6 linked regions of the Callithrix jacchus genome follow. The protein of the gene in region 1 purifies or fractionates together with the protein of each later gene. This does not show direct contact. Links are inferred from orthologs where the notes say so. Each region holds a gene or a part of one and is shown in the gene's direction. Other genes may lie near its edges. The genes, in order: PRPF4, TUT1, GPHN, SNU13, DDX23 and CD2BP2.

What was found.
Region 2: the proteins of PRPF4 (region 1) and TUT1 purify together in Homo sapiens (co-immunoprecipitation; 3 studies listed by BioGRID and IntAct, counting the BioPlex papers as one, with this or other methods). This does not show direct contact. The link is inferred for Callithrix jacchus from reciprocal best matches to the Homo sapiens genes PRPF4 and TUT1.
Region 3: the proteins of PRPF4 (region 1) and GPHN purify together in Homo sapiens (affinity purification with mass spectrometry; 3 studies listed by BioGRID and IntAct, counting the BioPlex papers as one, with this or other methods). This does not show direct contact. The link is inferred for Callithrix jacchus from reciprocal best matches to the Homo sapiens genes PRPF4 and GPHN.
Region 4: the proteins of PRPF4 (region 1) and SNU13 purify together in Homo sapiens (affinity purification with mass spectrometry; 4 studies listed by BioGRID and IntAct, counting the BioPlex papers as one, with this or other methods). This does not show direct contact. The link is inferred for Callithrix jacchus from reciprocal best matches to the Homo sapiens genes PRPF4 and SNU13.
Region 5: the proteins of PRPF4 (region 1) and DDX23 purify together in Homo sapiens (affinity purification with mass spectrometry; 4 studies listed by BioGRID and IntAct, counting the BioPlex papers as one, with this or other methods). This does not show direct contact. The link is inferred for Callithrix jacchus from reciprocal best matches to the Homo sapiens genes PRPF4 and DDX23.
Region 6: the proteins of PRPF4 (region 1) and CD2BP2 purify together in Homo sapiens (affinity purification with mass spectrometry; 3 studies listed by BioGRID and IntAct, with this or other methods). This does not show direct contact. The link is inferred for Callithrix jacchus from reciprocal best matches to the Homo sapiens genes PRPF4 and CD2BP2.

The regions. Positions count from the first base shown.
Region 1 is NC_133502.1:161,602,742-161,606,241, forward strand, and holds part of PRPF4 (U4/U6 small nuclear ribonucleoprotein Prp4), read left to right. Parts: intron 1-1,200; coding exon 1,201-1,323; intron 1,324-1,434; coding exon 1,435-1,542; intron 1,543-1,632; coding exon 1,633-1,751; intron 1,752-2,236; coding exon 2,237-2,430; 3' UTR 2,431-3,500. UniProt on the Homo sapiens protein: Plays a role in pre-mRNA splicing as component of the U4/U6-U5 tri-snRNP complex that is involved in spliceosome assembly, and as component of the precatalytic spliceosome (spliceosome B complex).
Region 2 is NC_133511.1:119,859,982-119,863,988, reverse strand, and holds the start of TUT1 (speckle targeted PIP5K1A-regulated poly(A) polymerase), read left to right. Parts: upstream 1-1,207; 5' UTR 1,208-1,295; coding exon 1,296-1,377; exon of another isoform or gene 1,378-1,567; coding exon of another isoform or gene 1,568-1,583; intron 1,584-3,662; coding exon 3,663-3,853; intron 3,854-4,007. UniProt on the Homo sapiens protein: Poly(A) polymerase that creates the 3'-poly(A) tail of specific pre-mRNAs. Localizes to nuclear speckles together with PIP5K1A and mediates polyadenylation of a select set of mRNAs, such as HMOX1.
Region 3 is NC_133509.1:102,065,735-102,069,234, forward strand, and holds part of GPHN (gephyrin), read left to right. Parts: intron 1-825; coding exon 826-884; intron 885-2,044; coding exon 2,045-2,198; intron 2,199-3,500. UniProt on the Homo sapiens protein: Microtubule-associated protein involved in membrane protein-cytoskeleton interactions. It is thought to anchor the inhibitory glycine receptor (GLYR) to subsynaptic microtubules.
Region 4 is NC_133502.1:190,083,628-190,087,529, forward strand, and holds the end of SNU13 (NHP2-like protein 1), read left to right. Parts: intron 1-2,147; coding exon 2,148-2,410; 3' UTR 2,411-3,402; downstream 3,403-3,902.
Region 5 is NC_133510.1:70,720,723-70,724,810, forward strand, and holds the start of DDX23 (putative ATP-dependent RNA helicase DDX23), read left to right. Parts: upstream 1-1,288; 5' UTR 1,289-1,446; coding exon 1,447-1,614; intron 1,615-4,088. UniProt on the Homo sapiens protein: Involved in pre-mRNA splicing and its phosphorylated form (by SRPK2) is required for spliceosomal B complex formation.
Region 6 is NC_133513.1:29,873,078-29,877,035, reverse strand, and holds the start of CD2BP2 (CD2 antigen cytoplasmic tail-binding protein 2), read left to right. Parts: upstream 1-1,158; 5' UTR 1,159-1,293; exon of another isoform or gene 1,294-1,400; intron 1,401-1,731; 5' UTR 1,732-1,758; coding exon 1,759-1,836; intron 1,837-2,428; coding exon 2,429-2,564; intron 2,565-2,690; coding exon 2,691-2,848; intron 2,849-2,950; coding exon 2,951-3,386; intron 3,387-3,465; coding exon 3,466-3,572; intron 3,573-3,657; coding exon 3,658-3,768; 3' UTR 3,769-3,958. UniProt on the Homo sapiens protein: Involved in pre-mRNA splicing as component of the U5 snRNP complex that is involved in spliceosome assembly.

The DNA.
Region 1 (3,500 bases):
TAATTGCTGGGGGTTATTATTTGCGTGACTGTACCATAGTTTATCCATTCTCCTGTTGATGGACACTTGGGCTGTTTCCAGGTTTGGGCCAGTCAGAATGCAGCTGCTATAAATATTCTTGTACCGGGCTTTTTGCGGACATGAGAACAATTGCTGGGTCACAGGGTAGAGGCCTTAGGTGTATATTTAACTTTTTCTAAACTCCCCTCCAGTTTTCCAAAACAGTTACACCATTTTACATTCCCAGAATTCTGGTTATTTCACGTCCCTGTTAACATTTGGTGTCGTCAGTCTTACTGCTTCTCCCCATCTAGCAGGTGTGTAGTGAAACCCCATGGTTTTCATTCTTAAGACCCTGATCACTGTTGCTGTTGAGTACTTTGCCTGGTTTTTTTAATTGAGTTTGTCTCTTTTGTCTTTATCTCCATGTCCATAGTCAATTCTGCCAATGTGTATTGAAGAGACTTTCCTTTGTCTGTTGGAATTGTTTTAATACCCTTACTGAAAATCATCTGACCATACATGTGTGGGTTATGAGCGATTTGTATATCCCCAACATCCAATTTAGGGCCCAGTAAATGTATAAATGCTTGAGGAATGAAAGAACGTAACAGTGGAGGAAGAAAGAAGGCAACAGAGTCTTTTCTGGGCCATTCTTGGGGAATCCTGTTATTAAAATAGCCACTAGGTTGTACATGATGGCTCATACCTGTAATCCCAGCACTTTGGAAGGCCAAGGTGGGCAGATCACCTGAGCTCAGGAGTTCGAGACCAGCCTGGCCAACATGGTGAAACTCTATTTCTACAAAAAAAAAAACACAAAAATTAGCCGGGCATGATGGTGCACGCCTGTAGTCCCAGCTACTCAGGAGGCTGAGGCAGGAGAATGGCTTAAACCCAGGAGATGGAGGTTGCAGTGAGCCGAGATTGCATCACTGCACTCCAGCCTGGGCGACGGAGTGAGACTCTGTCTCAAAAAAAATTAGGCATTAGAGGTTTACAGCTATTCCACGGTTCTCAGTTAGCACCTAAGACAGATAAGCTTAGTTGTTGAGTTATTATTTATGTCAGAAAGGAGCTTCCTGTTATATGTTTCTATGAGTAGTTCAGAAGCATTAATAACTTAAGCTATGATGACTTATGTGTTGTAGAAACTGAATAAATACCAGCTGGTTGATTGTTAGTGTGATTTCATTTTAGCTATGACCGTTCATGGCGCTTATGGGATTTGGAGGCTCAAGAGGAGATCCTGCATCAGGAGGGCCACAGCATGGGTGTGTATGACATTGCCTTCCATCAAGATGGCTCTTTGGCTGGCACTGGGTAAGGCTTCTCCCATATAGCCAGGGGCAGTTCAGTACTCTCACCTCTTGTGTATGTCTCCTTCCACAGAGAACTGGATTCACAGTGTTCATTTGTAAATTATTTTATCAGGGGACTGGATGCATTTGGTCGAGTTTGGGACCTACGCACGGGACGTTGCATCATGTTCTTAGAAGGCCACCTGAAAGAAATCTATGGAATAAATTTCTCCCCCAATGGGTAAAATAAACACAGTGAATGAGGGGTGAAAAAGGGTTCTTGGTCAGAAAGCACTGTACTTCTAACTTCAATACTGCATCCAATCCACAGCTATCACATCGCAACCGGCAGCGGTGACAACACCTGCAAAGTGTGGGACCTTCGACAGCGGCGTTGCGTCTACACCATCCCTGCTCATCAGAACTTAGTGACTGGTGTCAAGTTTGAGCGTAAGCCTTCCTCCTGGTTTAGATCTAAATGACACAGGCAAACAGGATGTGTTTCTCTGGAATGCAGGCCAGGCTTTAGCTTAACTGAGAAGTAGAACAGGAGAGCATATGACCACAGTTAAAGGAACAAATTCTAATTTCCTTCCCCCTGCCATGCCTTAGATCTGTGGAGAAGCATGCTGTGAGTGCTTTGCTTCATTCTTTCCTCTATGGATGTTCTGAGCACTGAGTCCTTAATATTATTCTGAACAGATTCTCTGTCAGGGAATGCGCCAAAAGACCTTAGTGTTATTTGGTCCCTTAAGTCCACCTGGGGTTATCCCCTTTACCCGGAGGCCTCGTAGGAAGATAGCATCAGTGTTGATTTTTTTCTGAATGTAGAAATACGTTTTTTTTAAATTGCATGTTTTTGCAGACATTTGTGATTTTGTTATCTTCTGCTCTTTTGAATAAAGTCCTCAAGCAATTCCCCTTTTCTTCTGTAGCTATCCATGGGAACTTCTTGCTTACTGGTGCCTATGACAACACAGCCAAGATCTGGACGCACCCAGGCTGGTCCCCGCTGAAGACTCTGGCTGGCCACGAAGGCAAAGTGATGGGCCTAGATATTTCTTCCGATGGGCAGCTCATAGCCACTTGCTCATATGACAGGACCTTCAAGCTCTGGATGGCTGAATAGACAAGACAATGGAAAAAGGACTTGAACCTCAAGCTGTCTCTAAGGAGCTATTTCCTCAAAAGAGAAGAATTCAAGTGTTTAGTTATACCATGTTTTCTGCCAATTACCATGTGTAGACCCTCAGTAGAATTGGATTTCCATGTCAGCCCCCACTCCAGGCAGGCAGCCCAGTCCCTAGGTGATGGTGAACCCCTCTCATGGTTGAAAATTTATTTCTCCTTTTTACACCCTGCCACAAACTGTGTAGACATTGTTTTCATTTATCTTTTGTTTGGCCGGGAGTGGTGGCTCAAACCTGTAATCCTAGTACTTTGGGAGGCCAAGGCAAGCAGACTACTTGAGGTCAGGAGTTCAAGACTAGCCTGGGCAACATAGCAAAACGCCATCTCTACTAAAAAATTAGCCGGGCGTGGTGGCTTGTGCCTATGGTCCCAGCTACTCAGGAGACTGAGGTGGGAGGATCACTTAAGCCTGGAAGACGGAGGTTGCAGTGAGGTGAGATCACACCAATGCACTGTAGCCTGTGTGACAGAGAGACCCTGTCTCTTAAAAAATATATATATACTTTGTTTGAATGCCTTATAGCCTTCCTCACAGCACTCAGGATTGTGACTGACTCTGCATTTTTAATTCTTGAAACTTGGTTTTCCATAACATGGTACATGCTTCAGGACTGCATGTGACCCAGAGAGCGAGGTGGCTGAACTAGATAGAGTCTGGCAGCCCTCGGGTAAAGAGGCACCTCTCACCACTCCTTGGTTAAAGAGTGCGTAACAGCGAGCACTTTTCCTTTCCTTGAGAATAGGAGGTGAAGCAGTAGACTGCAGCTCCCCCGATGGTTATGCTGCGAAAAAGACTGACCTCTTCCTGTTGTGTTTGCTTGGAATGCTGACTGCATCAGGAAACTGAACTGAACATCTGCTTTGTCAGAAAATATCTTTTACTTTACTTTGAAGTTTGGCAATCTTCATGTTAACTTAAAGCAAACCCATTGTGTCAGGATTCAAACAAACGTTTAGAAAGCAAACATGACGTCTCTATTGTACAACCTCCTTTCTGTTGGTTATTTA
Region 2 (4,007 bases), on another chromosome or scaffold:
CTAGCTGTGTGGTGTTACTTGGCAGGTGAGAATTCTACCACTGAACACCTGAGCACCTCTGGGTGTATGTTTACAGCCTGCTTACTGCCTCAGGAGCCTCAAGGCCAGCCTTAGCAACTGCCTTGATATCCTGATTCACTGTAACACCATTTCCTGCTTTAAAGGTTTGGGACACTGAGATTAGATGCCTGAGTTGGGCCCATTAGAAGGAACACCTTAGGGGAGAGAACAAAAAGTTCAGCCTACTGTGTGCTCCTTGGGCACTTCCTTTAGAGATGGGGAACAGCCTCAGCACTTGCGACTTGCTCGCTGTCGCCTTAAGTCCATTTCTCTTTGCATCATTCAAAGCTGTGGGCTGATAACTACAGTACAAGCTGCCGAGCCCACATGATGGTCCTCTGCACCTTGTTATGGTCCCTGTCCCTAGGGCATCCCCAGCTCCCGTAGGTAGCCCCTCACTGTCCCGAGCCTTCATCTCAGCGGTGTTCGGAGGAACTGACAATTATACCTGCTGGGGTTCAACAGCATTTCTCCCCTCCAGTGTCTTTACTAGGTTACCAGCACTCGGTTTTGTCTTGTCGCACTGTCGCACTGCTCCGAGGTGCGACAGTGGCTCTGGCACCTCCGGAGTACACCACGCAGCCCAATACTGCGGAAGGAATGGTCCTGGCTCCCGGGACCTCATGGAGTCCGGAAGGTGCCCGATAGTGGCAGAGCTCCCTAACTAGGGCTAGAAGCAGTCGCAGAATACCCGTTTTGCGAGAGGACAATGGGAGGAAAGGGAGGGAGTACCAGCCCTGAAAAGATTGGAAGTCCAGGGACAGTCCTGGGCTCCGTGGGGCAAAGGACTGAAAGCCGCCGATCCTCCTCCGCCTTTATTCGTCGGGCAAATAAGGGTCGAAGGTAAGGAAGCACGAGTGTTTACTGCTGGGAGAAGGAGGGGCCGCGAGACACCACCCAGCGCCGGCCTTTGTGGCTGCTGTCATAAATATTTACGCCCTTTGGGCCAATCGGCGTCTGAACAGTTTAGAGCACACCAATCGGCTTACTGCATGCAGATAAGCATCGTAAGGCGCGGCTTTTCCCAAAATGGGCGGGGACTTGACACCGGCTAGAAACGGAACCCGGAGTAGCTGGAGCTTGGTTTCCGGAGGAGTTTGTCCGCGCAATTGGAAGACTTTTTGTCACTTCCTATCGGACGGGCGGAAGTTACTTCCGAGCGCGTTGAGCTTTGGAGAAGTGGGTTCTGGTGGTGGCAGAGGTGCTTGTGTATTTGTCGGTACAGGAGAGTCGCTATGGCGGCGGTGGATTCGGATGTCGAATCGCTGCCGCGTGGGGGTTTCCGCTGCTGCCTGTGCCACGTTACTACAGCCAACCGTAAGCGGTGGCTAGTGAGGGACCTGGGTGGTTACGGGCTTTAGTCTTTTGATCCTGGCGAAAGTTAGGGTTATAGGTCTTCGTTCCTGTCAAGTCGGTTGGTAGGGTCTCACCTCCGTTTTTACTCCGCAAGTTCGAGGGGATTTGGAGAGTCGAGAAAGTCCCACCACATTACACTCCTCCTCAGTATATGACATCTCCACGACGCAAGTTTCATTGTTTTATTCCTTCTTTAACCGTCATCTGTAGGACATATGCTCTGTGGCTGGTATTCTGCTGATCTTTAGGGTGGGGGAAGGGGGTTCAGAGATGGAGGGGCTCACCCTCTAGAGATGGAGAAAGTTTCAATGCTTTGTAGTTATGTTTGGAGAACTGTGGGACCACAGAGAATCGGTAACTAAGTCAGAGAAGCCCTACAGAGGACTTACTCAAAGGTGGGGACGGATGAAATAGGTGGCATGAATGACTAGACCATAAGGTACCAGTGAGAAAGAGACAGAAGATGGGTTTCGAAAAACAGACAAGGTTCTTGTATGACAGAGAAGGAGTTTATCAAAACCGCAAATTCCACTTTTTTTTTTTTTCCTTCTGAAACAGGCTCTTGCTCTGTCACCTAGGCTGCAGTGCAGTGTTGTGATCTTGGTTCACTGCAGCCTCAACCTCCCAGGCTCAAGCCATTCTCCTGGTTAGCCTCCCAAGTAGCTGGGTGGACAGGCGCGTACCACCACACCTGTCTAATTTTTTGTTTTTCTGTAGATACAGGGTTTTGCCATGTTATCTAGGCTGGTTTCCAACTCCTGGCCTCAAGTGATCTTCCCCTCTTGGCCTTCAAAGTACTGGGATTACAGGCGTGAACCAAAGTGCTGGCCCCACTTTTGAAGTCTGGAATCACAGTCTTCCCTGTGGGTCTACTTCCATTCTTCCTTTTCTCTGTGAATGGCACTATCACTGTTCATCCAATAGGCCAGGCCAGAAACCTAGGCGTCTTCCTTGGCCCCACATTTACTTTGACATCAAGCAGCTAACTCATAATAAAATAATAGCAATGGCTAGTTTTTTGACATTTACCATGTACGAGACTCTCCAAGTGATATATATGAATAATACCTGTGTGTTTGGTGCTAGGTACTTTTATTTCCATTTTATATCTGAGGAAGTAGGTGCACAGAGAGGCTTTGTAACTTGACCAAGATTTCATACAGCTTCACAGAGTTGGGACTTGAACTTGGGCAGTGTGATTTCAGATCCTGCCCTTGACATCACTATACCATACCATACCCAGAGATGACCCACGAAGTATTCCAGGATCCTAATACTTTTTGTTGTTGTTGTTGTTTTGAGATGGAGTCTTGCTCTGTCACCAGGCTGGAGTGCAGTGGCACGATCTTGGCTCTCTGCAACCTCCACCTCCCGGGTTCAAGCGATTCTTCTGCCTCAGCCTCCTGAGTAGCTGGGACTACAGGCACGTGCCACCACGCCCAGCTGATTTTTGTATTTTTAGTAGAGATGGGGTTTCACCATGTTGGCCAGGATGGTCTTGATCTCTTGACCTCGTAATCTGCCCGCCTAGGCCTCCCAAAGTGCTGGGAATACAGGTGTGAGCCACCGTGCCTGGCCTGAATCCTAGTATCTAGCTTTTCTGTGGATGACCTGGATAAGTTACCTGTTAATTTCTTTCCAACTCTACCTAGCACAAATAGGTGGTTTAAGCTATACTGTCGCACTGGTCTTTAAGTAAAAATTAAAAATAAAAGTAAACAAAATACTTGTGTAGCCAGTTCTCTTGGGAACCACTTAGAAAATGTACTATTTAGGCCAGGTGCGGTGGCTCATGCCTGTAATCCCAGCACTTTGGGAGGCTGAGACAGGCAGATCACTTGAGGTCAGGAGTTCAAGACCAGCCTGGCCAACATAGTGAAACCCTATCTTTACTAAAAATACAAAAATTAGCCGGGTATGGTAGCAGACGCCTGTAGTCCCAGCTACTCAGGAGGCTGAGGCAGGAGAATTTCTTGAACCTGGTAGGTGCAAGTTGCAGTGAACTGAGACTCTGCCACTGAACTTCAGCCTGGGTGACAGAGTGAGACTCTGTCTCAAAAATAAAAATAGAGAATGTATTATTTAGACAAAAGTATAAGAGAGGAAGGTGAAAGGAGCCAGGACTTTGCTTATTCAAAGGTCAGTTTCTGTGGCTTGGAAGGATCAGAGGATTAGGTATGCAGAGAGCAAGGGTAGACTCACTAAAGAGTGCTTTGGGAGTTTTTGTCTCACACTTGTCTTTGCAGGACCCAGCCTCGATGCCCACTTGGGAGGCAGAAAGCACCGGCACCTGGTAGAACTACGAGCTGCGAGAAAGGCCCAGGGACTTCGAAGTGTATTTGTCAGTGGCTTTCCCAGGGATGTGGATTCTGCCAAGCTCTCTGAGTACTTCCAAGCATTTGGACCTGTGGCCAGTATTGTCATGGATAAGGACAAGGTAAAGTGAATGGTTCCGGGGGTAAAGAATGAATCAGGGCTGGGTGTGGTGGCTCACTCCTGTAATCCCAGCAGTTTGGGAGGCCAAACAAGGTGGGCGGATCACCTGAGGTCAGGAGTTCGAGACCAGCCTGGCCAACCAACATGGTGGAACC
Region 3 (3,500 bases), on another chromosome or scaffold:
GTTTAAAGATATATTTTAAAAGCTAAGGTTAAAAATAAACATATATTCTCCCAAGCTGAGAAGATAGTAAAATTTGTCCATGCCAAGAGACAGATGCTTTCCTTGATCTGAAGCTTTTCTTTTTAATCACCTTTCCACATACAAGACATAAAATTCAACTGTTGGGAAAGAGACCACATTGCCTGCTGTTAAAACTGTCTAAGCAGATTTATTGGCATCAGGGAAGCCCGCAGAGCATTGAAATCCAGAACACATGCATCCGTAGACTCTACCAGATGACAAGACACAGTTCCAATGTCACAGTATTATTCATAGCCCAAAAATGTAAAACTGATTATTGCCATTAATGTACAGAAATCTACTACCAGGCAAACTATAAGTCCTTTACTGAAATTTCTGCAGGTATTCGGTAACCTTGGCATGGTATTAAACTCATGATTCATGGGAAGAGAAGAAAGATATTATCTCCATGCACACTTCATTAGGGTAGCCATCTATATCCATCTACATATATATATAATATATAAATATATAAATTATATATATAATGTACTAGTTCAAATATTAAATCTTGCTTTACAATTGGTACATTTTTTAAAAACATAAAAATTAGAGCAAAAAAAATTTATTTATTGGTACTAAACCTTCTAATTTTTCAGGAACCTGGGTTAGAAATTCAGTGTTTTCAAAAGGTATAGCAAATAGTTTTTGGTTTCTCTATATTTGTGTATGTCCTAGGCCTATCTGATGGTAAAAGTATCTGAGTAGCTAAATTCTACTGCTCAGAAATTCTGTTTGAAATTACATAATCTGCTCTTATTATAGGGCACTGAAGAACTTGAAGTGCGAATTCTGGTGCAAGCTCGGCCAGGCCAAGATATCAGGTAACTTCAAAACACATACAATATATAGCCCACTTTTGTTTCTTTTTCTTTTTTTTTTACACCCATCTCTCTTCAGTCATTTATTTTATTTTATTTTATTTTATTTTTGGCTGGCTTTTGTTTCTACATGATCATTTATTTAGGAAACCCTGGGTACTAAATATGTTCCCATGTCAATTAGCCATTAATTTTCAGGGCTTTAACAAGAAGAAAAATGAATTCTGTTTCACATCTCTGCCCTACCTACTTTTTAATGAAGGACAGTAAAAGCAAGTTAGTCAAAGGCAAGATGAGAAAGAGGTAAAGTCACGAGCCTACATATTCTACAGTTAATTCTACTCCTAGATAATCCTGAATTACCCAATCCCATCCCTAAGTAATCCAGAATTTGGTATTAACTCAGATAATCCAAGAATTGGGTATTTACACAATTAACTTATAGCATATGCTCTACTGAGCACCAATAATACGGGAATAATCTACTCCTCTTTATATACAAAGAGGAGGCTATTGTCCTATAATAAATAGTGTGTATACCTTAAATTATTTTTCTTACAATGGAATATGTTTACCTTGATTCCATTAATACTAATTTGCTGAACGTCCCTTTGTAATGAAACTACACTTCTCCCATCCTTATGGCAGCACACCAAGGTGAATGTACCTCTGTGGCCACAGATCAGGACCGACCTACGTGGAAATTAGCTCTATGACCATAACCTCATTGGCATCATTCTCCTTGCTACAAAGCTAGCCAGCTGTGGACCTCTTATCATCAATGCTCCTAGATATTTTGATACAGATTCTTGCCTTATCAAAGAAAGTTTGCAATGGGTAGTTTTACTATAATGTAGCACAAAACAATTTGTAATTTTCTTCACAGGTACTCAAGAAAACAAAATTTCAAATATGAAGTAACAGGTTCTTCTTTAGCCGTAATATAATCCAATCCTATTTCTGTTTTCTGTTGTGTGATTCAACTTTTAAAATTAAAAAAGCATAGGATTTTTAGAATCCCTTCATTTCGTTATTTTCCTACTACTTTATTTCTTGACTTTTTTCTCCTCTTGAATGTCCTCCTTTTTTGACACTAAAGTTTCCCTCATTAGTTGAGAAAATGTTCTTAATCACACTGTTTATGGTTCTGCTTTGACTTTCAGACCCATCGGCCATGACATTAAAAGAGGGGAATGTGTTTTGGCCAAAGGAACCCACATGGGCCCCTCAGAGATTGGTCTTCTAGCAACTGTAGGTGTCACAGAGGTTGAAGTTAACAAGTTTCCAGTGGTTGCAGTCATGTCAACAGGGAATGAGGTATTAAAAATAAAAGTGGGGTGAGGGCCTGTAAGGTAAAGGTATTTCTGACATCTGTTTTGTGTTGTAAATAGAATGTTGTATATTATAGATCATACCAGTGGGTCCACATTCTTATAAGAGGGAACAATAAATTGGCCTTAGGATAGTTTCAAGTTCAGAATATGAGAACAAGGAAGAACCAGTAAAAAAAAATATGTATTATGAAATGTCCTCTTCTACTTACTAGAATGAAATATTATAACCAATGGCCTTTTCACATATTCAGTATACATAAACAAAGAATTTTAGCTGCTAGCTATAGATATTAAACTATGCAAACTCAGTACTTTGTCTGTTAAGACAATGAATTGTGCCCATCCTGCTGTTGAAATGATAGGCCACTTCTGTGTGGTAAGTATCAGTGAATCAGGACATCATGGCTAGCACTTCTTGTGAAAAGTTCCATGTAATCTTTAATCACCAAGAGGGACTTGATAATCAGGTTTTTTTTTTTTTTCTCTCTCTCTCTCTCTCTCTACAGCATCTCTAGTGGCATGGTATTCAGAATAGGTTGAAATGTCATTTCATTCCTGATTTAGAAAAGAGAATTTAGTCCATCTCTTTCTGAGAACTCTTGAAAAACTTCCTATTGCCTGTTTTGCTTAGGTTGTGCAAAACTTCAGTCAGAAACTCTAAGGTCAAATGGAGAATATTAAAAAGTGAATCTGCTGGAAACTCAAAACCTTATAGAAGAATCAGAAACTATTGAGATTTTTTAAAGTATTAATAATTCCTCTGACCTTACTATTAAAGAAAAATTAATGGTATATTTTAAAATCTCTTTGTTCTGAAAATAAACCCATCATTATTTTTAATTTCTTGAAGTCTTGGAAATGAAAATTTTCAAAGGTCATTTTAGGACCTTATAGTTCTTTTGGTTGGAGCAAAACAATGGACTATTTTATTTTGCTAATGGAGAGCTAAATCAGCATTCCAGATGTGCTTACTTCCCAGGATACATGTACTAGTCATTTCTAAAAATTATCAGTTGACAGAAAACAAACATTCTTTTTAATTTGATCTACACAGTGATGATTTTAATATCCTTAGGACCAAATAACATTATATTTAGCATCAGAAATAAATTTCTGTTAAACTGGCTAACTCATTGAACCATTCTCTTTTATGATTTACTTACATGCTTTGTACATCAAGTAAGTTCATGGAGTTTGAGAAAGCAAAACAGAATTAGCACACTCATGGCCCAGGCATGGTGCCTTATACTTGTAATTCCAACACTTCAGGAGGATCAGTTGAGAC
Region 4 (3,902 bases), about 28 Mb from region 1:
ACCTCAGGTAGATGAGGACTCATGGACACAGAGCAAGCTTATTTCCTCTTGCCGCACTTTGCATGGTGCTAGGCACGCAGGTGCTGAGGACAGACAGGTCCTTGAATGGAGATGCTCAGGCTCAAGACTTCAATTCAGAATGTGCTTACTAGGAGTTCAGGGAGAAAGAGGCAACAATTTTTTATACCTCTGCCTCAGTGTCAAGTATTCTTTCTTCCCTTATTTATTGGCTGCCTACTGTGTGCCAGGCACATGTGTATATGCTGATGATGCATTGGTGAACAAAACGAAGTCTCTGCCTTCTTGGAGTGTACATTTCAGTGGAGAAAGACATAGGTTTTATGTCTGGTGGTAAAGAATGCTGTAAAAGAGAATAAAATAGAGAAGGGGGATACAAATGGCAGTGGTAAGGTCTTTCTAAGTAAAGTATTCAGAGAAGGTTTGTCTGAGGAGTTGAAGTTTGAGCAGAGAACAAATAGGGGTATTGGGAAGAAACATTTTTGGGCGTGGTGCAAAGGCGTGCTTGAGAGATTCTAAGGAGGCTGGCGTGTGGCTGGAATGAAGTGAGGGGTGAGAGGTGCTAGGAGATCGCATGAGACCTAGTAGGCCATTGTTAGCAGTTTACATTTTTCTGTGAGTACAATGGGAAATGAGTAGAAAGATTTTGAACATGCTTTGCAGTTTCCATGTGTCAGCCATTTTTATTTATTATTATTATTTTTTTGAGACAGTCTCACTCTGTAGCCCAGGCTGGAGTGCGGTGGCATCATCAGGGCTCGCTGCAGCCATGACCTCCTGGGCTTAGGTGATCCTCCCACCTCAGCCTCCCAGGTAGCTGGAACTACAGGTACACACCACCACACCTGGCTGACTTTTTATATTTTAGTGGAGATGGGGTTTTGCCATGTTGCCCAGGATGGTCTCAAACTTCTGGGTTCAAACAGTCTGCCTGCCTCGGCTTCACAAACTGCTGGGATTATAGGTACAAGCCACTGTGCCCAGCCTCATCATTCTTATTAACTTTTTTTTTTTTTTAAGATGGGGTGTCACCATGATGGCCAGGCTGGTCTTGAACTCCTGACCTCAGGTGATCCCACCTCGGCCTCCCACAGCACCCGGCCCCATTCTTATTAACTTGTTTAATCCTTTAAAGAATCCTATTAGGTAGAATTATTGTACTGTGTTACTTTATAGATGATAAATGTAAGGGAAGTTAAATACCTTGCTAAAAGTCGTTTGTGAAACGACAATGAGTGCTCTCATTTGCACTCAGGCAGTGTAGCTCTAGAGTGTGTGCCCTTGTCGAGTACTCCGGCATGAATGCAGCGTATTCGGACTGAGCCACAGAGGCAAGCCATCAGGATAGTAGGCATCTGAAATGGTGCTGTGGGTTGTTGAACTTGCATGGTGAGTCACGTGTTGGGTGAGCTTCCTAGAAGTATTGATTATGGCAGATTGAGATAGTAAAACTCTGACTCTTGGTCACACATACCTTGAGAAATACTGTATTATTAATATACTAATTCTTGCTGGTGGGGTTTGTGAAAGCTGTTGCAGCTGACAAGGTAAGAGATGATGGTGACTTGGACAAGTGTAGCAGAGGAGTAGAAAGAAGTGGTCAGATTAGGCCGGGCACAGTGGCCTAAGCTTGTAAGCTCAGCACTTTGGGAGGTCGAGGTGGGTGTATCACTTGAGGTCAGGAATTCTGGACAACATGGTGAAACCTTGTCTCTACTAAAAATACAAAAATTAGCCAGGCACAGTGGCACTTGCCTGTAATTCCAACTACTTGAGAGGCTGAGGCAGGAGAATCACTTAAACCCAGGAGGTGGAGGTTGAAATGAGCTGAGATTGCGCCTCTGCACTCCAACTGGAAAAGAGCAAGACTCCGTCTCAAAAAAATAAAAGGAAGAAGTGATGAGATTCAGGACGTGTTTTGAAGATAAGTGGTGGGTTTAATGCAGGGTTTCAGCAGAGGCCATTGTGTTGAATCTTTTGTCATATCCCAGGGCCGCTCTCATAATTATATGTGCCTAGGCATTTTGCCCAGTTTTCTTGTACCTGTAATTTTTTCTGGAAATTGCTTTGTTGTGGCTGCCCTGCCCAAGCCCACATCACCTATTAGTTTCACACCCTTCTCTCCACAGCCACCAAAACCCTCAACAGGGGCATCTCTGAGTTCATTGTGATGGCTGCAGATGCTGAGCCACTGGAGATCATTCTGCACCTCCCGCTGCTGTGCGAAGACAAGAACGTGCCCTATGTGTTTGTGCGCTCCAAGCAGGCCCTGGGGAGAGCCTGTGGGGTCTCCAGGCCTGTCATCGCCTGTTCCGTCACCATCAAAGAAGGCTCACAGCTGAAACAGCAGATTCAATCCATTCAGCAGTCCATTGAAAGGCTCTTGGTCTAAACCTGTGGCCTCTGCCACGTGCTCCCTGCCAAATTCTCCCCCGAGGTTGTGTATCATATTGTTTGTGTTAGCATGTAGTAGTTTCAGCTATTCTCTATTGTTATAAAATGTTGTAGTACTAAATCTGGTTTCTGGATTTGTGTGGTGTTTTTGTTCTGTTTTATAGGGTTGTTTTCCCCCTTCCTTTCCTCCCTCTCTCTGCCATCCTTCATCCTTTTATCCTCCCTTTTGAAAAACGAACAAATGTTCAGAACAGGCTGAAGCAGGACGGTGGCACCATTCAAAGGCACAAAGAGTCAGGAGAAAGCTGATGGAACTAGGATAGAGACCTAGTTCCTGGCTTTTAGCCACTAGCTTCCTATTGTGTGCAGAGTATGGTGGAATTAAATACCATTCATTGTGTATCCCTTGTGCCTGGCACACGGAATCATTCATACCTGTTAAAGTGATCAAGAAGTTTTCTTTGTTCTTGGGGCATTATGTATCATTTGGGGAGGAAGCATGTGTTCTGTGAGGTAGTTAGGCTATGTCCAAGTATCATTTACTAATGTACCCCTGCTGTTTGCTTTTGATAATGTGATTGATGTTGATGTTCTCCCCCAACCCCCAACCATGCCCTTGAGGGTGGCAGGGCAGCAGCATACCAAAGAGATGTGCTGCAGGATTCCAGAGGTGACCTGGGTGAGTGAGCCATGAGGCAGTCGACCTAGGTCTCGAAAGTGTCAGGAGTGGCAAGGGCAGAGAACATGAACTGGATTCCTGGAAGACCATGAAGACCTGGCTGGTAGCTGCAGCAGAGACGATGGAATCTAAGGAAACAACCTTCCTCTGGTGAATGGGACTTTCTTTGGTGGACAGTTGGCACCAGCTCTGAGAGCCCTTCCCCTGTGTTGTGCCACAGTGTGGGTCAGATGTACTCTTTATCACACTAGTGCTGGTTCATGTGTTCTTCTGTGAGCATCCTAATAAAAAAATAAATTCCATTTTCATGAGAGAATGGCAATGCCTGATTCTTAGTAGGTATCCAGCTCATACTGGAATGAAGACATAGCATTACTAGACTGGTGATAGGTGCTTTTCTTCTTCCAGAAAGAGTTTCGCTCTTGTTGCCTAGGCTGGAGTGCAATGGCATGATCTCTCGGCTCACTGTGGCCTCTGCCTCCTGGGTTCAAACGACTCTCCTATCTCAGCCTGCCAAGTAGCTGGGATTATAGGCATGCACCATGACGCCTGGCTGATTTTTTGTATTTTTAGTAAAGATGGGACCATGTTGGACATGCTAGTCTTGAACTCCTGACCGCAGGTGATCCACCATCTCAGCCTCACAAAGTGTTGGGATTACAGGTGTAAGCCACCATACCTTACCAGCTGCTTAAGACATTTTTACCAGAAGGCTATGAAAGAGCTGTTTCCTCCTACCAGGTAGTTTCTGTCTTGGCAGTTCAAAACATCATCTTATACAGACTCAATTGGAGCATTGCTATCACTGGAG
Region 5 (4,088 bases), on another chromosome or scaffold:
TGTTTATAAATGTAAAATTTTATTGTTTAGAATAGACAGGAAGTCTTGCTATATTATCCTGGCTGCTCTTGAGTTGAACTCCTGGGCTCAAGTGATCCTTCCTCCTCAGCCTCACAAGGTGCTGGAACTACAGGCATGAGCCACCAGGCCTGGCCATACAAATATGGTTTTCTTTCTCTCTCTATTTTTTTTTTTTTTTTTAGTGGGGGACTGAGTTTCACTCTTGTGCCCAGGCTGGAGTGCAATGGCTCTATCTCGGCTCACTGCAGCCTCTGCCTCCCGGGTTCAAGTGATTCTCCTGTCTCAGCCTCCTGAGTAGCTGGGATTATAGGCACAAGCTGTCATACCTGGCTAATTTTTTGTATTTTTGTAGAGATGGGGTTTCACTGTCTTGCCCAGGCTGGTCTTGAACTCCTGAGCTCAGGCAGTCCACCTGCCTCAGCCTCCCAAAGTGCTGGGATTACAGGCATGAGCCCCATGCCCGGCCACAGATGTTTTTAACTGTACTGTAGTTATGCAGTGGCTCACACCTGTAATACCAGCACTTTGGGAGGCAGAGGCAGAAGGATTGTTTGAGCCCTGGAGTTCAAGACTAGCCTGGGCAACAAATTGAGACTGTGTCTCTAATAAAAATTTAAAGAATTAGTTGGGGCTGGATGCAGTGGCTCATGTCTGTAATCCCAGCACTTTGGGAGGTTTAGGTGGGCGATTACCTGAGGTCAGGAGTTTGAGACCAGACTGGCCAACATGGTGAAACCACACCTCTACTAAAAATACAAAAATTAGCCAGACATGTTGGCACGTGCCTGTAATACCAGCTACTCGGGAGGCTGAGGAAGGAGAATCGCTTGAATCTGGGAGGTGGAGGTTGCGGTGAGCTGAGATCATGCTGTTTCACTCCAGCCTCCGTGACAGAGCAAGACTCTGTCTCAAAAAAAAAAAAAAATTAAGAGCCGGGTGAGGTAGTTTACACCTATAATCCCAGCAGTTTGGGAGGCCAAGGTGGGCGGATCATGAGGTCAAGAGATCGAGACCATCCTGGCCAACATGGTGAAACCCCGTCTCTACTAAAAATACAAAAATTAGCCGGGCATGGTGGCGCGCGCCTGTAGTCCCAGCTACTTGGGAGGCTGAGGCAGGAGAATTGCTTGAATCCAGGAGGCAGAGGTTGCAGTGAGCCAAGATCATGCGAGTGTACTCCAGCCTGGCACTTGGCAACTGAGTGAGACTCTGTCTCAAAAAAAAAAAAAAAAAAAAAAATTAGCCAGGCATGGCGGCACACTTCTGTAGTCCCAGCTACTTAGGACACCAAGGGAGGAGAATTGTTTGAACCCAGCAGGTGGAGATTGCAGTGAGCCAAGATCATACCACTGCATTCCAGCCTGGGCAGCAGAGTGAGACTCCATCTCAAAAAAAAAAAAAAAAAATAGTTGAGTGTGATAGCATATGCCTACAGTCCTGGCTACTTGGGAGGCTGAGGCAGGAGGATCGCTTGAGCCTGGGAAGTCAAGGCTGCAGTGTGCCATGATTGTGCCACTGCCCTCCAGCCTGGATGAGAGAGAGAGACCCTGTCTCAGCGACAACAACAACAACAAAACAGAACTGGTAAACATGGTAAGCTAGTTCCTGCTCCAGTTTCTTAGTACTCATATCTGTTCTATCTAATAAGGGTTTTATAGCCTGATCTTTTCATGGCTCTTTTTCCCATCATTCAAACTCAGCTTAAGAATCAATGAAAACTTCTTCCCTGAGCCACCTATCTCTTGTTCATATCCCTACCCATCGTATCACTGTGGTTTTTTGTTAGTTTGTTTTGAGACAGGATCTGGCTCTGTCACCCAGGCTAGAGAACAGTGGGGCAATCTTGGCTCACTGTAACCTCTGCCTCCTGGGTTCAAGTGATTCCCCTGCCTCAGCCTCCTAAGTACCTGGGATTACAGGCGCATGCCACCACGCCTGGCCAATTTTGTAGTTTTAGTAGAGATGGGGTTTCACCATGTTGGTCAGGCTGGTCCTGAACTCCTTTAGCCTCCCAAAGTGTTGGGATTACAGATGTCAGCCACGGCACTCAGTGCCTTTGTTTTCTTTACTGTTTTGTCTCCATTACCTATAATGATTTCTGGCACCTTTTAGGTGCTTGGTGAATATTTGTTGAAAGAATGAATGATATCCAGAATGCTGTACAGAGAAAGTAGCCTTCCTTTGGGATTGTTTTCTTAGGGCTATAACTGTTCTTTTTTTTTTTTTCTTTCTTTCTACTTTTTTTTGAGAGAGGGTTTTGCCTCATTGCCCAAGCTGGGGTGCAGTTGGCACAATCTTAGCTCACTGCAACTTCCACCTCCCAGGCCCTAGCAGTCTTTCTACCTCAGCCTCCTGAGTAGTGTGCGCCACCATGCCTGGCTAATTTTTTATATTTTTAGTAAAGATGGGTTTTTGGCATATTGCCCAGGTTGGTCTTCAACTCCTGGACAAGCGATCTGCCCACCTCAGCCTCCCAAAGTGCTGAGATTATAGGCATGAGACACCATACCTGGTCAAGACATAGGTATTTCTATGTGATGTACATGATGTACTGATACAGAACAGTCAGTCATTTCTCAGATGTTTGTGAGATAAAATGGGTCATCCTCATCTTTTAAAAGTGCTTCTTGTGAGGCCAGGTACGATGGCTCATGCCTGTAATCCCTGCAGTTTGGGAGGCCTACGTGGGTGGATCATGAGATCAGGAGTGCAAGACCAACCTGGCCAAGATGGTGAAACTACGTCTCTACTAAAAGTACAAAAATTAGCCGAGTATAGTGTCAGGTGCCTATAATCCCAACTACTTGGAGGTTAAGGCAGGAGAATTGCTTGAACCCAGAGGCTGAGATCGCACCATTGCACTCCAGCCTGGTGACAGAGCAAGACTCCATCTCAAAATAAAAAGGGGGGTGGGGGAAGTGCTTCTTGTTCTTTTTTTTTTTTTTTTGAGATGGAGTCTTGCTCTATTGCTAGGCTGGAGTGCAGTGGCACGATCTCTGGTCTCTGCCCTCCAGCTCCCAGGTTCAAGCGATTCTCCTGCCTCAGTCTCCCAAGTAGCTAGGACCACAGGGGCGTGCCACCACCCCTGGACAATTTTTTTTTTTTTTTTAATTTTTTATTGCATTTTAGGTTTTGGGGTACATGAGCAGAACATGCAAGACAGTTGCGTAGGTACACACATGGCAGTGTGTTTTGCTTCCTTTCTTCCCTTCACCCACATTTGGCATTTCTCCCCAGGTTATCCCTCCCCACCTCCCCTCCCACTGGTCCTCCCCTTTTCCCCCCAATAGACCCCAGTGTTTAGTACTCCCCTCCCTGTGTCCATGTGTTCTCATTCTTCATCACCTGCCTATGAGTGAAAATATGCGGTGTTTCATTTTCTGTTCTTGTGTCAGTTTGCTGAGGATGATGTTCTCCAGATTCATCCAGTCCCCACAAATGACACAAACTCATCATTCCTGATTGCTGCATAATATTCCATGGTGTATATGTGCCACATTTTTCCAATCCAGTCTATTATCAATGGGCATTTGGGTTGATTCCAGGTCTTTGCTATTGTAAACAGTGCTGCAATGAACATTCATGTACATGTGTCCTTATAGTAGAACAATTTATAGTCCTTTGGATATATACCCAGTAATGGGATTGCTGGGTCAAATGGAATTTCTATTTCTAAGGCCTTGAGGAATTGCCACACTGTCTTCCACAATGGTTGAACTAATTTACACTCCCACCAACTGTGTAAAAGTGTTCCTTTTTCTCCACATCCTCTCCAGCATCTGTTGTCTCCAGATTTTTTAATGGTTGCCATTCTAACTGGCGTGAGATGGTATTTCAATGTGGTTTTGATTTGCATCTCTCTGATGACCAGTGACGATAGAGCGCCGAATCCTAACCACTAGACCACCAGGGACAATTTTTGTATTTTTAGTAGAGACAGGGCATCATCATGTTGACCAGGATGATCTCGATCTCTTGACCTTGTGATCCTCCTGCCATGGCCTCCTAAAGTATTGGGATTACAGCCATGAGCCACCACGCCCGGCCTCTTGTTCATTTTTCTTTTC
Region 6 (3,958 bases), on another chromosome or scaffold:
CGCCTTCCGGGTTCAAGCAATTCTCCTGTCTTAGCCTCCCGAGTAGCTGGGATTACAGGCTCATGCCGCCATGTCCGGCTAAATTTTTGTATTTTTAGTAGAGACGGGTTTCACCGTATTCCCCAGGCTGGTCTTGAACTCCTGAGCTCAGGCAATCCACCCGCCTCGGCCTCTCAAAGCGCTAGGATCACAGGCGTGTGCCACCGTGCCCAGCCCGAAAGCAGGATTCCTTTTTTTTTTTTTTTTGAGGTTGCCCAGGCTGGAGTGCAGTGGCGCAATCTCGGCTCACCGCATGCAACCTCCGCCTCCCGGGTGCTTGCAATTCTCCTGCCTCAGCCTCCCGAGTAGCTGGGACTAGAGGCGTATGCCGCCACGCCCGGCTAATTTTTTTGTAGTTTAGGAGAGACGAGGTTTCTTTTCTTTTCTTTTTTCTTTTGAGACGGAGTTTCGCTCTTGTTACCCAGGCTGGAGTGCAGTGGCGCGATCTTGGCTCACCGCAACCTCCGCCTCCTGGGTTCAAGCAATTCTCCCGCCTCAGCCTCCCGAGTAGCTGGGACTACAGCCGCGCACCACCATGCCCAGCTAATTTTTTGTGTATTTTTAGTAGAGACGGGGTTTCACCATGTTGACCAGGATGGTCTCGATCTCTTGACCTCGTGATCCACCCGCCTCGGCCTCCCAAAGTGCTGGGATTACAGGCGTGAGCCACGGCGCCCGGCCGAAGGCAGGATTTCTAGCGACACGGTAGGGGCGCAGAACCCTTCCCTGGGGGAAGGGTTACTCGAACCCAGGACAGGAAGACAAGAAAGCAATCCAGTGGCTCTGCTCAGACTTTGCTCCTAAATCCTGACACTGAGCGACCCTTTAAGTAGATGCGCTCCACTTTTTCTCCAGAGCCTCTACGGCTCAATGAGAGAATCAAAGCTACTTCCGGCCATTTCTCACGCCGGGTTAGAGTCTAGGAATTCTTAAGTCTCCTCTTTTCGCCACTTTCCTCCCACGCGACTGACGTCACTTCTGGCGTAAGAAAGGGTGGAGGTGTCTTCCCTCGCTCATCGCGTACTTCCGCCCGCTCTTCCAGTTGGTCCTCTGGCCGGAGTGAAGCCACTTCCGGCCTCCCCGGCGCATTCCTCAGTCCTCTTCCGGGTGATGGCGGCCGGGTGCCCCGGATGTAGCCCTGGCGCAAGCATCTCTTCTTTGCCGCCTCACCTCCAGCGGATCCCCAGGTGAGCGCGCGAGCGTGGGACCATCCGAATCCCCGTGGCCCTCTACTTTGTACGCAGCCCGGGACAGGTGGAGCTCACCACACGGAATTGGGAGTTCGGAGCAGGGAGGAACGGGGCGGCGAGGGCGCCAGGTCCTGGGTCCGCCCGGGCCCCGCGAGCTCCGAGAGAGCCTGGGTAGGAGGCGGGGGTCAGCCCGTCGAGCCTGGTGGTACCCAGACTGCGGGGGCTGGGTTTGGAGGTGGTCACATGGTGGAGCCTGTCTCCTTTTGGCCGGGGTCGGGGGATCCAGAGGGATTGCCCCTCCGTCCCCGCCCCATTTAATTCGAGGATGCCAGACCGAGTACCAGAGGCCTTCTGGCTTCCAGCTCCCTTTCCGCCCCTGCTTTTGTGCTCCCTTCCCTCTCAAACTGTACTTGTCACCAAGAAAAATGTTTGCTGTGCCGGGAATCCTCTGGCGGCGAGTCCCCTCCTCACCCCGTTCTCTTCCTCTGCATACTTTCCTCAGCTTGAGGAACACCTTCTCTGCCCTGTCATGCCAAAGAGGAAAGTGACCTTCCAAGGCGTGGGAGATGAAGAGGACGAGGATGATATCAGTGTCCCCAAGAAGAAGGTGAGGGGACCAAACTTCTTTGTGTGGGGGGAAAGAGAGGAGCTAGAAGCCTGAGGAGGAAGAAAGTTGGGAGGGGCAAGGCGGGCTGGCAGAGAAAAGCCTAGTTTTTCCAGGTTCACTGAGGAATGGATTGGGAGCATCTTCAGTGTGGGTCCTGAAATATTTGGGGAAGTAGGGCTGGGCACGGTGGCCCACGCTTGTAATCCCAGCACTTTGGAAGGCCAAGGCAGGCAGATCACCTGAGGTCGGGAGTTGAAGACCAGCCTGGCTAACCTGGTGAAACCCCATTTCTACTAAAAGTACTAAAAATTAGCCGGGTGGTGGTGGGCACCTGTCCCAATTAGTTGGGAGGCTGATGTGGGGGAATCCCTTGAACACAGGAGCCGGAGGTTGCAGTGAGCTGAGATCAGCCATTGCACTCCAGCTTGGGCAACAAGAGTGAACTCTGTCTCAAAGAAAAAAAAAAAAAGAAATATCTAGGGAAGCAGTTGAGATCCTGAAATATTTGGGGAGTATTTGGGTCCAGATCTGGCAGTATTTGGGGAGGTAGCCAGTAACCTGCATTTCTTGACTTCCTGGCTCCTGCTCACAGCTGGTGGACCCTGTGGCTGGGTCAGGGGGTCCTGGGAGCCGCTTCAAAGGCAAACACTCTTTGGACAGCGATGAGGAGGATGATGACGATGGGGGGTCCAGCAAATATGACATCTTGTCCTCAGAGGATGTAGAAGGTGAGCTGTACTCAAGAATACACTCTACTGAAGGAAAAAGTAGAGACCTCTGGTGGTGTGAGGTGAGGGAGGCCCCGGTCTCTTTTTTTTCATCCCCAGCAAAGGACACCCCTGTCTTTGGTGCAGGTCAGGAGGCAGCCACACTCCCCAGCGAGGGGGGTGTGCGGATCACACCTTTTAACCTGCAGGAGGAGATGGAGGAAGGCCATTTCGATGCCGATGGCAACTACTTCCTGAACCGGGATGCTCAGATCCGAGACAGCTGGCTGGACAACATTGACTGGGTGTGGCCAAGGGGCTGGCATGGCTGGGGCCAGGGAGTGGCAGAGCTGCTGCCTGCTCCCGTGGCAGTTTGTGGGAAATCACTCCCCTTCTTCCCATTACAGGTGAAGATCCGGGAGCGGCCACCTGGCCAGCGCCAGACCTCAGACTCGGAGGAGGAGGATGGCTTGGGCCAGACCCCAATGAGTGCCCAAGCTCTCTTGGAGGGACTTTTGGAGCTCCTGTTGCCTAGAGAAACAGTGGCTGGGGCACTGAGGCGTCTGGGGGCCCGAGGAGGAGGCAAAGGGAGCAGCAAGGGGCCCGGACGACCCAATTCCCCACAGCGCCTGGACCGGCTCTCTGGGTTGGCCGACCAGATGGTGGCCCGGGGCAACCTTGGCGTGTACCAGGAAACTCGGGAACGGTTGGCCATGAGGCTGAAGGGTTTGGGGTGCCAGACCCTGGGACCCCACAATCCCACACCCCCACCCTCCCTGGACATGTTTGCTGAGGAAGTGGCGGAGGGGGAACTGGAGACCCCAACCCCTACCCAGAAAGGAGGTGAGCTTGGAGGACACAGGAGGAGGCACTGGGCAGGAGGCAGACACTGGAGGCCAAATGGCTTTGCCTGTTATTTTAGAAGCAGAGTCGCCGGGAGATGGTCTGGTGGATGTGATGTGGGAATATAAGTGGGAGAACACAGGGGATGCCGAGCTGTATGGACCCTTCACCAGCGCCCAGATGCAGGTGAGCCGCTTTCTTCCTCCTTCTGCCTTGTCCCTGCTTCCCCAACTCCTGTCAGTCCTTCCCCAGCTCTGCCCTCTCCTTGCAGACCTGGGTGAGCGAAGGCTACTTCCCGGACGGTGTTTATTGCCGGAAGTTGGACCCCCCTGGTGGTCAGTTCTACAACTCCAAACGCATTGACTTTGACCTCTATACCTGAGCCTGCTGGGGGCCCAGTTTGGTGGGCCCTTCTTTCCTGGACTTTGTGGAGGAGACCCCCAAGTGTCTCAGGCAGTGAGGAAATTGGAGGCCATTTTTCAGTCAATTTCCCTTTTCCAATAAAAGCCTTTAGTTGTGTATTAGGGCCTTCGCTGTGCTGATGGCCGGAAGCCAGAGGTCTTCTCCACAGC